2 linked regions of the Oreochromis niloticus genome follow. The protein of the gene in region 1 binds, or shares a complex with, the protein of each later gene. Links are inferred from orthologs where the notes say so. Each region holds a gene or a part of one and is shown on either strand. Other genes may lie near its edges. The genes, in order: chchd6a and MICOS complex subunit MIC26.

What was found.
Region 2: chchd6a (region 1) and MICOS complex subunit MIC26 share a complex: the UniProt entries of both Homo sapiens proteins name them as parts of the mitochondrial contact site and cristae organizing system (MICOS) complex. The link is inferred for Oreochromis niloticus from reciprocal best matches to the Homo sapiens genes CHCHD6 and APOO.

Annotation. Positions count from the first base shown.
Region 1 is NC_031984.2:29,252,388-29,259,626, reverse strand, and holds the start of chchd6a (MICOS complex subunit mic25a), read right to left. Parts: upstream 3,243-7,239; 5' UTR 3,108-3,242; coding exon 3,024-3,107; intron 1,429-3,023; coding exon 1,335-1,428; intron 440-1,334; coding exon 325-439; intron 1-324. Other genes in the region: E3 ubiquitin/ISG15 ligase TRIM25, read right to left, coding at 3,946-4,654, 4,834-5,001, 6,298-6,437, 7,221-7,239. UniProt on the Homo sapiens protein: Component of the MICOS complex, a large protein complex of the mitochondrial inner membrane that plays crucial roles in the maintenance of crista junctions, inner membrane architecture, and formation of contact sites to the outer membrane.
Region 2 is NC_031982.2:27,116,817-27,123,566, forward strand, and holds MICOS complex subunit MIC26, read left to right. Parts: upstream 1-4,980; 5' UTR 4,981-5,067; coding exon 5,068-5,688; 3' UTR 5,689-6,216; downstream 6,217-6,750. Other genes in the region: dnaaf6 (dynein axonemal assembly factor 6), read right to left, coding at 887-1,016, 1,196-1,281, 2,733-2,829, 3,054-3,159, 3,260-3,326, 3,684-3,752, 3,926-4,210. UniProt on the Homo sapiens protein: Component of the MICOS complex, a large protein complex of the mitochondrial inner membrane that plays crucial roles in the maintenance of crista junctions, inner membrane architecture, and formation of contact sites to the outer membrane.

The sequences.
Region 1 (7,239 bases):
TCTTTTAGAAGAAGCTCTTGATTTAAAGGCTCTCTGAAATGATAAGCGTCAGATCATATTTCTGAAACCTTCACAGTGTTGCATATTATCCTGTTACAGCTCATTTTAGTTTTTTTGATTGAGCCTTCAAAAAAAATGTGGCACACCATCCATATTTTTTGTTTTCTTTCCAACGCAAACAGCAACACAACCTTGTGATTTATAACAAATCACAAAAAACCTTTTGCTCTGATATGCAACAATTCTATTTGCAATGCATACAAATGGTCACCAGGCAGAAATCAGCTTAACTCAAATCTGTATCCTGAATTTCCTTTAACCCACCTCCTCTGATCTTCTTTGCTAAAGGAGGCCGATTTGCTGTGCTGAGAACTGGGTGGGGCGCGCTGCTGTGGGCCTTGCTGAGATTGAGAGCCTGAGCTGGCACTGTGAGAGGAGGCTGAACAAAGACAACAAATGTTCAAAGGACAAAACTATCACACAAGGTAACAACAACACTGGCACTTTTGTGGCTTACAGCTTTACTGTCAAAATAGGGACAAATGCACATGTATAATTAATGCTATATAATCAAACATAGTTGAAGTTTACATTTATATATATACATATATAGTTTGTATGAACTGTAGCTCAAAATTTACTTTAGGTCAGACATTTAGTTGACAGTGAATATGTGTTATCTTATCTTAAAAGAAGTGTAAAACTCTATAAATTTTCTTGCAAATTTTGACTACTTGAAAAGCAACAGTCAATTTCAGTAAATTAAATTCCACCAAAGAAAGAAAGTAGTGACTTTTTTTTTCTTCTTCAAAGGAGGACACCACATCTTTTCCCTGGCTGCCAAAATCATTTCACGCTCTCAGTTTATTCTGACACAGGTTTCCAGTTAAAAAGCTGAGGCAACACGTTTTTTTCTAAAAGAAGTATTTTCTCGTGAGGTTAAACACTATCAGCTGAGGTGATACGTGCGTTTACAGATGAGAATCGAGAACCAGTTCCAAATTGTCTACTCCATTCGAATTGTATGTGTCAAAGTTTATCAAGTTCTCACACGATGTTGGCACATTGTACTCGCAATTGCACATGGCAGAACAATGATGCCAAATTCACAGCGGGTGAGGCTTTTTGTTTTACACCTGAGTTTCAGTCAGTGTGTTCACACTGAGAGATAATAAAACTGTTAATGCTGAGACTCCGTGAAACCTACCCCCACAAATACAGAGAGAATAAACTGTCAGAAATCAAAAGGGGAATAATTAAAACAAACTGGTCTGTAAGCAAACTCGATAATGGCGGAGGCATCAATAAAATTTAATCTCAAAAATGATCACTACCTGTGTTTGTCTGAGGGCTTGAGGCAGGTGATGACGTGCGTTCTGGGGCAATGTTGGCAACTCCTCTCATTCTTTGCAGAACATCTTCTGACAGCTGGACAAACAGAGTCAACCACAAATCATATCATATACATGACGTGTGTTATTTATTTAAGAGAAAACAACATTTGTGTAATCCTTCAGATAAAAAACAAACAAACAAGAAAAACATGCCATTAATAGAGGATCACTGAACCTCTAGTGTTTGTGTATCTGTATGTGTGTGTGTGTGTGTGTGTGTGTGTCTTTGTGTATCCAGGGAAGTCCTTAAGCACTACTACCCCAAAAACCACAGAAGGGAGCACTGACTCACTGTTTCTATGAGTCACACTGAATGTGCAACCAAGGCAGGCTCTTTTCTTACAGACATTTTAAAAGCACTTTGGGTGCTCAGAGTAGAAAAGCACTACATAAAAACTGGTCAACTTACAAAACTGCTCACAGCCATTGCATGTCATTGCATTCCACCACAACATATTAATTTTTGACATGCTTCATTTTCCAGTGGTTGTTTTTCCTCATAATGTTAGGATATTTGGAGGCACACACCCACACCAGCTGATTTTCTGTATGTGTGTGCATGCAAGAAGAATAACTTAAGAATTTTAATTTGCCACTTAATCACACACGCCAACAGGCTAAAGGTGAAACGAGTACACATCAGCATCATTATGACAATGCAAGAATCTCCACAAACGAGTTCAGAAACGAAATAAACATGGTGGTGTATGATTATCTAACTGATGTTGTCAGCGCTTGACAGATGACCGAAAGCTCAGCAAAACTAGACATGCCTATATCCTGTTCAAAATCATTTCTAATTGTTGTTTTGTATATTATCGTTTCCTGTTTTAGAAGACGACAATTTAGTTATATATGCAACTGCATTAGTGTTTCACTGGTTTCACTTACATACACTAACTCGCTCTACTCTTAGATGTTCTAAAAGTATAAGCTAAAGTTAAAAACATATGTCCAACAGCACGTGAAAGCAACACTAAAGAGGCGTCAACTCCATACCAAACCTCGTTTGAAATTTGCTCATTTAAAGCCATCCACTTCTAATTACACATATGGTTAGTTAAAACAACATATCAGGCAGTTATGACATTTATACGATTCTCCCCGTTTTTTCGATACACACTTACTGTGCAGCTGACATGTTCCAGTAGGATAACAGCGTTCTTTAATGCTCTTTAATGCAAACTAAACGTTTTATCGCGTTAACGTTGTTAGCAAATGCCAGCGAGTAGGTGACAGCTAAAATGTTTAATTTCGGGTAATTAGTTTTCCTGCTAGGTGGGCAATGTATATGCCGAATTTACCTTAAGGTCCTAAAGTTTTCTATATTTCTTAGACCATCTCCCTAATGTATTCCTTTACTTGTGAACAAGGAACATTACTATTTTCACCTTATTACCAATGGAGTTTGGGGTAACAAAAAGATTTACGTATTTCAGCTCTTTCAGCAACCTATCCCACCCTCTGCGTCCCTTTGCACCTCCTCATTTTAGCAGTGACACTCTACCGGTCGTAGACTGATAGCTTGAACAAAGCAACAACTTAATTTGACAATAGCCAGTCAGTGCTAAGCGACACATTAAAGTAATGCTAGCATGGCTTCTCAAGTGCTAGCTAAATTAGCATTACCTTGACTCCACGGAGAATTCTGACCCTGTCCTCATCGTCGACACCGAAGGACACTTTTCTTGTTGTACTCTCTCCCGAACCCATGCTTCTGCTGCAAACGCACAGCTTTCGTGGTGAGAAAAATGTTTATAATATGAAATAATGTTGCTGTCCTGCCCAATGACAGAATGTGAGACAGATGGGATGGGTTGCCAGGTTCTTCGTGAACCATCCTCCTCTTGCACATGTGTAAAGGTCAGATCGTGCGTTGGCAAGAAATGATAAAATTGCGTGTGAAAACGAAATTGTTAATAAGAAATTATTAGATGTGTGTTCTGGGGAAAGTCATATCAAATGCAAATTGCTTAATCGCTTTTTTTTTTTTTAAATCAAGGATTTACAGGCACACCTGGCAACTCCAGGGTCATACTTGAATGGCTGAAATATCAACAGCCAATCAAAGGCTATATACGGCATAGATTATTTCTATGCACCTGTATAAGTATTGAGACAAAGTTGGTCACAAGACGCACAGAAACATTGCCAGATAAGTTTATTTGTAGAATAAACACAAAACATGTCTCAGTTTGTCCCTAAATGTCAGCGTCTGCGCACACCAGTGTTTACTGTATGGGGGACAAACACAACATTCAACACGTTACAATAACATTTACAAAACACACAAAATGAAAACATGATCTTGTGACATAAATGTTTATGCCTCAAGATCTCACAAAGGTAATAGGCGCCTGCATTGATAAATCTACTCTATTAAAACACCCTAAGTATGAACAACAAATTTTTGTAAACAATCTCATGTGATTGTAATGCTAAATGTATACGATGCAGCAATGCCAGGCAGCAGACACATTGTTGGTTTTTGTGTTAGCTGGAAGGCAGTTCACTTGGCTGACTAACAAAGCAATTTCTATGCAGGACGTATTCACATCCCACTGCTCAGTGTGATCCAGGAGTCTGGTGTGTTTGAATGTATACCGAACGCCGGGTAAACAGGCTCTTTAAACACAGCCTTTAAGGTGTGGAGGTGCTCCCTGCGCCCTTTGGTGCTGTGGAACGTCAAAGTTCCCCCCTCATAGTCCAGTGTGACCTCAATCTTGACCGGTGGTGTGGTCACTTCCTTAAGGACCACATTCGAGGAGCACTGGCACACTGTCAGCTTGCCATTTTTCCACTGCAGCCTCCAGGACACAGTGTTGTGCCCCAGACGGCTGTGGTCACCACGGCGAGGGATGCTCTTGTAGCACACACCCAGTGACCACATGCTATTGGGTCCCACTTCTACAACCCATACGTGCTCGCCGCCAGAGAAACCCTGGCTGCACAGGATCTGAGGTGTGCTCGTGAAACGCTCGGGGTGCTCCGGGTACGACTGCTTGTTGGAACTGTATTTGACTGTGCGCAGATCGTTGGACACCAGCAGGTTGGGGTGGGCGGTGTAGATGCTGAAGGTGAGTTCCAGTGGGTTGAGGAGGATATGAAGAGAATCCATGAGGCGAGTCATTTCTGTGCAGAAGTCTTGGGTTTTGAGGCCTCCCTGCAGGAGCATTGTATTGAGTGGAGTCTTTGAGGGGATGTAGGAGGGAATGGCACTGGTGACAACATCTCTCAGCTTTTGTTCAATCTGCATGAACCTGGAGAGCAAAGATTTATTGTTACTTACCCCACTCATCTAGCCATATGCCATGGGTAATAAACAGAGAAGTGTCAGTTTATCAGTAAGAATACTGCATCATTTCCACTTTCTTGTCATTTGTACATTGTTCTATGTATTTCTTCTTTTTAATTGTAATAGCAGGGCAGATTTCTGTACCTGTGTATAAAGATGCATGTGTCTGTCTCATTGAGGACCTCTGTGGCGCTCTTTTGGGCCTCCATCAGCTGCTGCTGCTGCTCCTCAAGTGCACTCATACCTAGCTGCCAGCTTTTGCGGCGCTGTCCTCTCTCCTCCTCCAACAGCGAAAGCAGGCGATCCCTGTACCTGTATCACAGCACAGCACACAAGTGAAGAGGACTGGTCAGTTTTATTCCTTTTATTATCGCAATGTTACTAGACAGAATCAGGTGGATCGATTCATCACTGTGTCTGCTTTAGAGTTGTACATGCATCCATACAATGAGAAATACTCACAAAGCTCAGAAAATATTCACCAGTCTAAGTTTTAATCTGTGCTAATTAGATAAGGTTAGCCAGCTAGCTAGATCATTTAAAAAAAAATCAAACAAAAGAGCTAAACAGATAGAATCTAATGATGTATGTGAGTTTTTTGTTTTGTTTTGTTTTTGTTCTTTCAGTAAATACCTGGTACTGAGAAAATGTCTGTGAGATGAAACTGGCTGAAATGCTGCTGGCAGGCTACTTAAATGATAAGCAATGTGCTCAGAGGCACACCCAGAAGTTCCTGAACTTCCAGAAAGTTCCAACCCTCAGCACGAACTTCCATATATTTATTCAGACTGACAACATATGACATAATAAACTCCCCCAAGAGTCCCTAAGCCCCGGGAAAATTCCTGCTATGCATGCTCAATATTTTTATTTAGCTTAAAGTGCAACTAGCTCACACACAGCCTCACTAATGTGACTGAGCTCTACATTTCAGTCTTACTGCCTCACTTCCAAAGATATACTTTCTTGAATGTTTTCTTGAACTTAAAGTAGAAAACTAGCCTTTTGTACTCTTTACTCTCAGTAGATTTAAGGATTTATTTTAAAATCCTCATATTTACATGCAGAGTACTAAAAGGCCAGGCTTCAGATTATTTATCTCTCTGTTGAGAATGTTATTGATTGCCTGTTTATTTCATTGCTTTTTATTGACTATTATTGTACTTAATGTCCTTTTTTATGTGGACAGTGCTTCAAATCTGTGTAAAGTGGTTAATAAATGAACTTACTGAAGTATTAGGGTGTTATAAACACCCTTGAATCTATCCCACAAAACAGACACTGGTAGGCTTAAAATGCAGATAAACTGCATTCATTACATACATGCATGCTACATTCTTTGAGGGGCCTGCGTTTTGGTCTGTATTTTTATTTGCTGCTGAAAATATGAAGCGCATCCTGTAAATTCGCTTGTCAGAGAGAAGGTCCGGAAGGAACACTGTTCTACCACCTCTGAAATATGCAGTCTGGGTTTTCCACACCTTTTTTAAGCCAATATCATTTGTCATCTTGCTGTTTGAAAACGTACTGTGCATGAACATTTCCTTAATTACACCACATGCTACTTTTTAAGGCAGTGTTACTAGCAGCAAATGTGCAGCAGGTTACCTGTCCACCAGAGCACCTATGCTGTCCATGACTGTCACAGCCTTGCTGACCATTTTGTCTCCTACAGCTTCAGAGGCTCCCTGATCCTCTGCTGTCTTCTGCAGGAGTCCCTCTGTCAGCTGCAGTCTACTAGAAATGACCTGCAAACACACATATAATATGTTTTAAGATCTTCTGTGTTTCACACAACAGGATTCTTTCTATTGTGTATAAGCATAAAAGATTTCAGATCTGGAAAAACTGGATGGCCTTTTCTCGTAAGTGGCTTTCAGAAAACAAGTAGAGAATACAGATCTATATATACATATATGTAGTACTGTAAATGTCTGTAATGTTAAGTAATATATGATCATGTTCCATCAACATTTGATCATTTTCTTGTCCAAAATATTAATTTTTACATTCTGACTTTGTACTTTTACAGTGTATGTATAGCACGACTCTGCCAAAGGTCATCAGGTTATTCCCATCAGACAGATTTGTTTTGCATACCAGATCTTCACCACTCCCCGAAAATGGCAGTGAGTCACTGAGGTGCCAAGCCCTTAATTTATATGTGAAACAAGTTAGGTTCCCATGTCTGTGTCCCATATGCATAGAGCACAGTCTTTTAAACATTGTTCCAAAATTATATTACAGGATTTTCAGGTTTTGGCATTTCTCAACAGTAAGTTCCCTCACATATTTTTATAGCATGAATCATGCATTTGTATAACTTGAATATTTTATTCATCAGTATACAAGCCCTGGCTGAGCACTACTTTCACTTTTGTGCATGCTCAGCTGAACCAGATGTGGCCACATTTTGTAGGTTATCAATTAAAAAAAAATACATATATATATATATACATATATATATATAGACATAATAATCCCCCTTCCTAATATTTAATGCTACAATATAACAGATATAACAAAAATACCTTATTTCGGGCCTCCAGC
Region 2 (6,750 bases), on another chromosome or scaffold:
AAGAGTTAGTATTTAATTCAGTAAATGCAGCATCTCCGTTAAGTTTTGTGTGAATATAAAAGCATTTTTTAAAAATGAAGGCTGAGCAATTTTCTTGTATATTATCTTCAGGCAGCACTGAGCTCTGGGTACTCCTGTATGGAGTTTGCATGTTCAAAACTCTTCCCACAGCCCAAAGACATTAATGAGGAAAGATTCATTGGTAATTCTAAATTCTCCTAGGTGGGACTGTGACTGTGAATCTTTTTTCAGTCACTATATATTAGCCCTGCTGGTATAGGCTCCAGTCCAGTGAAAAGTTGTATAAAATGGCCTCAAAAGACCTGAATTCAAAGATTAATTAAGCTGTTTACCACATTAAGATGTGTACACCATGGAAGTCAGTAATAACAGCTACATTAAGTTGTTGTATTGCAATATGCACCATGAATGGTAAATGTTATGCAGATAAAAGATTGCTTAAAAATAGATAGTTGCAGGTATCATGTTCAGTGTTCCTCAAAATAAGGGTTTCCCCAACCTTACACACAGTACGCTTGCATAATGGTGAGCAAAGGCTGAATACATCTGTACATGTTGTATGTTTTTTGTTTATTTTTATCAAATTTGCAAAAAATTCAAAGTAATTTTTTTCATGTTGTCATTGTAGGGTATTGGGTGTAGAAATTTCAGGCGAAAAATGAAAATAATCAATTTTGGAGTCAAGTATTTATTAGAAATCCACAATTTAACAGTCATAGAGGCTGTGATGACACAAACAATAGCTTAAACTCACAAAATTCATGAAAAAATTCATGTTTTTGCTGATTATTTCCCAATTCCTTTCTGGTTTTAATCCTTAATGTGTCAGTTTGTATAATGGTAATTGCTGCTAAGTCATCCTTTTTCATTGCATATTGATAAAATCCATAGGACGCTTCATTAGTAGAGTCACCTCCAGTTCCTCCCTCTCACTGAAGAACTGGGCCTTGCTCTCATTTTTGTGGACCGGATCAGGGAGATGGAGCCCCAGTTTGCTGAAAACAGATGGAAAGGCAGGTTACAAAAAACAAGTAGCACTCAGGGGGGGATGATATACTGAAAGACATTAAGAGTTGTGTGATAAAGCAATCAAAGCTCAGATCTTGGCATGCATAAGCCTCTAAGTCTTCAGGGAATTAAAAATGAAAGCTTACATTTTCAAAGGATCTCTTACTATTTTGGCGTCCGTAGATCAAGGAACTTTTCTTTCACATCCAGCACCACATCTGTTGCTTTAGTGTCTGGTAGTTTGATTTTAACCTACACGTGAGGGAAAAGTTAGCATCTTTATTATTCTACACTGTTCACATTAATATGTTGTTAGTTGTTTCCTGCTTTGAATATAACTTCTACTTCTACTTCCACTTTTTAAAGGTTAACACACATTACACGTGAAACATCCCAGTTTGAGACCTGAAACAGCTAGTGTACTATGTTGATTTCAAAGCAGGATAAATGGTTGCATCATGAAGGGCATCCAGCATAAAATGTGTGCCAAATCAAATATGTGGATCTGCTGTGGAGATCCTTCCAGTAGTTGAAAGTACCTAAATAGTTGCTGTAATTATTGTGCCATATCGGTGATTATTCCAGAATCAAGCATCTTACTATGACCAATCTAAAAGAGTGAATGGATGTAATCTCAATATTTATAAGTGTTTTAACACAAAGTATTTTAAATACAGACTCCAATTATTATTTATTGGAAATATTTTTACATATGTTTTAATGCATGCTCAATAATACAGGTGAGGAAATCCCAGAAAGTTGATTCTTTTCATTTGGATTTCAGTAGGAGAAACACTACATCACCCATCCAAGTGACTTTGTTAGTCTCAGCTAAATGCAGGTTTCTCGAACCTTACACACAGTACGCTTGCATAATGACTGAAACTAGCAGCATTGCTTAACAAAGAGCCAGAAGGTCTGTGAATAGTCCTCATGGCCACTGAAGAGTGGTCATGACAATGCGTGTTCTGATCATGAAAGCAATGGTGCTTCCTCTCATTATGCTACTGTATTGTTTATAAGTTTGGGGGAACCTGCTGTCAGCTGAGACTGAAGGAGTAACCCGGGTGAGTGATGAAATGTTTCTCCCACTGAAATCTAGATGAACAAAATCAGCTTTATAAATCTACAAACAAGACTTTTGTTTAGATTTTGTTTAGAAGATTGGAAGTTAAAGACAATGAAAAAAACACCCTGATCTATGATGTCTTCTTTGTAATTTGTTGCTGATCAAAGTATTGTAAGTCAGCAAGTCAGTTCATCTGTATTTTGGAGTGAAAATGATACCAACATACTAAAACACACAATTCCCTTAAATATACATAACATTTCATATTTACACAAAGTAACAGACAAAGACAATCTTAGCAATTTGAGAACATTTTGAAGTATCTGTCAGAGATCAGGTGAACAGTAGAGGAAAGATAAGCACTATTAGAAGCATTTAAATATTTTTTACGTATATAGAGCCTGGTCACTATAGGGTTAACCTGTCTCACCTGTGCTCCTCAACATTTTTAGACTGTTCCTTTCTAAAGTCTAAAACTAACTACGTCTTCAACAGAATTATCTGAAGCCAGCCAACATTTAATAGGAGATTCATGCCTTGCTGCTCTTGATCACAACCTTGTGCATTTCATTTTAGTATCAAAAAAGTGCACTGAGTGAAGTGTTAAGAAATCTTGTGACACTTGGCAAGTTACCAGCATGGCTTCACAACACATGGAGGATGGATCCTTTCTGCTTAATCCCAAGAAGAGATCCTCTGTTCCTACACTTTGCTTCAGGATTATTTCATACCTGCACACAGAGATTATAAATGAAGCAGACACACTAAAACCAAACACAATAAATATCACATTACCAGACATTACCTTGAACAGAAGGAGACTAAACTCAGAAACAGACAGTGTTTGAAGAAGTATGAGGACTCTTTTGAACCTTTAAATATCCACTTTTCATAACGTTTGATGCTTTTTTACATCCACTGTTGGTGTGTGTCTCTTTCTGCATTGCAGTCTTACTCAGGTTGTGGCCTTGGGTCAGTCAGATCATCATACTGTGAGCCTTCGGCCACTTCTTCTTCACACCAGATATCTTTGCTGTTCTTCTTCGTGTATGCGGTTGACACTAATTAAACAGTCACATAAAGAGAGAAAGGCAGATGCAGAAAAAGTATGTATGCTTGAATAAATACTTTTATGGAGTGCTTATAATTGAAAAATAGTACCTTGTTTTTCTTTTTTGGGTGGGGGGCCAATGTGTCCGGGACCCAAGCGTGCATATGCTTTCACATCCTGTTAACATAAACTAATATTAGTGTGGGGGAGACTTGGCTTAATGGTTACTGTAGTTGAAATACAATGATACATATTCTCTCCACTTTATTTTACTCCATATTCCCCCATTGGTCCTCCCTGCCTACACCTGCAGACTAATAAACCTTACACCACTTTTCTAAATACCCTAAAATGTATATTTTATTGAAAAATTATTTTTAAATGTTCATTTTGCTAGTGTTGATTGATTACCCTTGCTATATACATAGGATTAAAATTTTGCTTGTTGAAAAATGTAAAGAGACAACAATTTCCGAGGAAGATACTAAAAGCTAGTGTTAGCAGGGCTTTAACATGGATGCATGTAGATCTTACTTTACACTCCTCATCTTCCTCTTCTTCGTCCTGCTGACTGGACAACAAGGCAGACAGAGCCTGGAGGCTCTGTTCGGAAGATACCCCAAGACAATCCATTCAGAAAAACAAAACAAATAAACAAAAATAAAAATAAAAAGCGCAGCGGACACAAACAAGGAGGAAAAAGCTGCTAAACTATAAGCAACTATAACAAAACAATTATTTTAATTGGTGCTAGTATACTAATTTTAGCAGCTCACGTTTGGATTGTTGACGCTTTCTGTTTCCCTGGAGACGCCAGGCTTTCCTGCTGCCATGGAAACCAGTGACGTCGAACAAATTACGTGGCCAGAGTCACGGTTACGCAGATAGCCGTGAGCTAAGAAGCCTTGCCAGGGAATTTCTAATATAACGATCTCCTCTAGCTCTCTTTTTTTAAAGCAGCTTTGAGAATAATGCATACTGTACTGTATACGAGAAAAACTAGGCACTGAGAAAACAAACAAATAAACAAAAAGAAACAAAGATGGTGGTTTTAAAGACATGTTTTAGGACAGAGTTGTATAAGAATGAACGACTGCTTTATTAATGTAATGTCCCACTGACTATTTGAATTTAACTGAAAGGTAATTCACGTAATGGTTTAAAATAGGTGTCATAATTATGCCTGAATGCGTTAGCAAGATGGCTGCTGGGTGACTTTTATAGGACGCTGTTACAGGCTAAATGCTTGTACTGTAAACAGCTGTTAAAACTGTTTAAAAAGAAACATTGGAGAAAAAAAATAGTGTAAGTGATGCAAATACTAATAATTTAATCCAGTTTAGCCTACCTCAGGTAGCAGACCTTGCCTTAGCTTTGACTTTTACGTGGAATATTTGAGTATCATATTATGAGGGCAGTGGATCAGAACAGCAGATATCCCAGTTAGGCACAGAGGACTTTATTGTAGACTACTAAAATAAAGCAGCCTGCTTAAGTCCTCATTCTAACTTCCTATTTGAAAGTTGTCATTAAAAATATAGTTCGTATAGTGTATTTAGTTTACCCATACCTTCACAATCTACCTTTAACAAGTATGTTATTCCTTTTTTGCAACGTTATTGATAACGAACCCATTCAAACATATCCATGACAGGCAGTCAATTTATGGTGAAACAACGCTTTGTTTTTAAACTGCATATCTTTGGAGTTCCAAATGAAGCATGGTTTGGAGATGTGGGCACAGACATCATTACTATCTGTAAAGAAAGCCTTGTCCTCACAGATATACTTTATTCCTCCTGCCACTGTTGGCGCGCTTTCAAGAGTAGTAAAAGCGTTTGGGTGAGAATCAGAGAGGCGGGGCTATCTGCCTTGTCCCTCCGTGGATACCGTAGTGAATGCATGGCCCGCGGGGATCATGTTGAAGGTGACAGGTAGTGCCATGCCGGGAGCCCTGCGATTTTCACCGTTCACCGTGTTTGCTGCTGCCGGTGACGGCGAGAAGGAACCAGCGGTGGCGGCGGCTTCGTTAAACGTGGACGAACTGTCTCTGTACACCGCTCCCCCGGAGAAGTTTCGGTACGTGGAGCCTAAAGCGGGGCAGCTGGAGGAGCGAGTCGCCACCCTCAGGAAGTTAGCGGAGCCGTACACTGCTTGGTGTCAGGTCACCTATGAGAAAATTAAACCCAAAGTTCAGGGGGTCTTCCAGTTTGGGAACGACGCATACGCCTATGTGAAGAACCCCCCGAAGGACTTCTACCCCCGTGCGGGAGTCATCGGCTTTACCGGAGTCCTTGGCCTGGTTCTTGCCAGAGGCTCCAGGATTAAGAAACTCATCTACCCGACCACTCTCATGACCCTGAGCGCCTCTCTCTACTACCCGGAGAAAGCAGCGGCCATCGCAAAGTCAACCGGAGACTCCGTGTACGACTTGGCCGTGCAGAGCTACGCAGCGGCGGAGAAGATCCTAAACCCCCAGAGCAAAGCTGAGAAGGTCAATAAACCCGAAATGAGCAGCGACTCCGAGACCAAACAGTGATGACCCCGGCGTGACTGCAATAACCGAGCAGTAGCCAATCACACAGCAGCTTTATCCCGATACTGTAAACTGAGCGCTTTCTAGACAGCGTGACTTTTTCATGCCTACACTTTGCACTAAGCTTCACGTGAAACTCAGGCCGGGCAAAGGGAAGGGGGGGATTTGCAACTTGAATGACTTCCTTCCGATTTGAATGTGTATTTATGTAGAGATAAAGCAGTATCTTACATTAAAGTTGTTTTACCGCCTTGATTCTGTGTCCTGTAATGCCACATGCACAAACAAGATGGTCAGCACCAAAGAGAAGAAAACTAATTCAGGATTTTAATAATCAGTCGTTTATTTTAAGTTTTGTTCAATGGGGTGACAAAGACCAAAGTAGGCAAGTCGCATTTGATCTGAAATTGTGTATTAGTTTCAAGTTTTATTTGTCATATACAGGTAACAATTATTATACTCACAGATTTTAAACATATTGTATAAAATAAGTTTTGCTAAAAAGTCATAATCCTACATAAACTCAAAACATTTGTAGTACTAAGTACTCATTAGACCCATTTGCATTATACTGCTCAGTAATGCTCGATATCTCAGCTTTATATTTTAATGCTTTTACAGTAAAAACTTCAAAGTCATTCTAAAGCTTTAAAGTAAATGGTATGGAGTAGAAATGGCTAAAATACTGTTGAGTGGAAGTAGAAAACAGCATGACCCAGAAGTACTTAGAAGCACTAGTTAAAACGACATACACACCCACCATCACATCACCTACTAATTAGTAAAATCTCAGCTTTGAGTTGAACAATTTTGCTATTGCCAGCTTAGGATTTTGAAACTGGATACGCCAAAACAACCAGTGGTTCAGTCTGAAATTAAGTCCATGCTCATTGGTTAGCAACTTGTAAATAAAATGTTATTAGCCAATGAGCATTTCCTGGAAAATCATAATTTCTGACTTCTTGACCAGAACTTAGTAAATTTAATGTTTTATGAAATATAACTAGTGACTGAGCTCACAAATGATCAGGAAAATGTTGATGTTAAAAAGGACTGGAAGGCCGT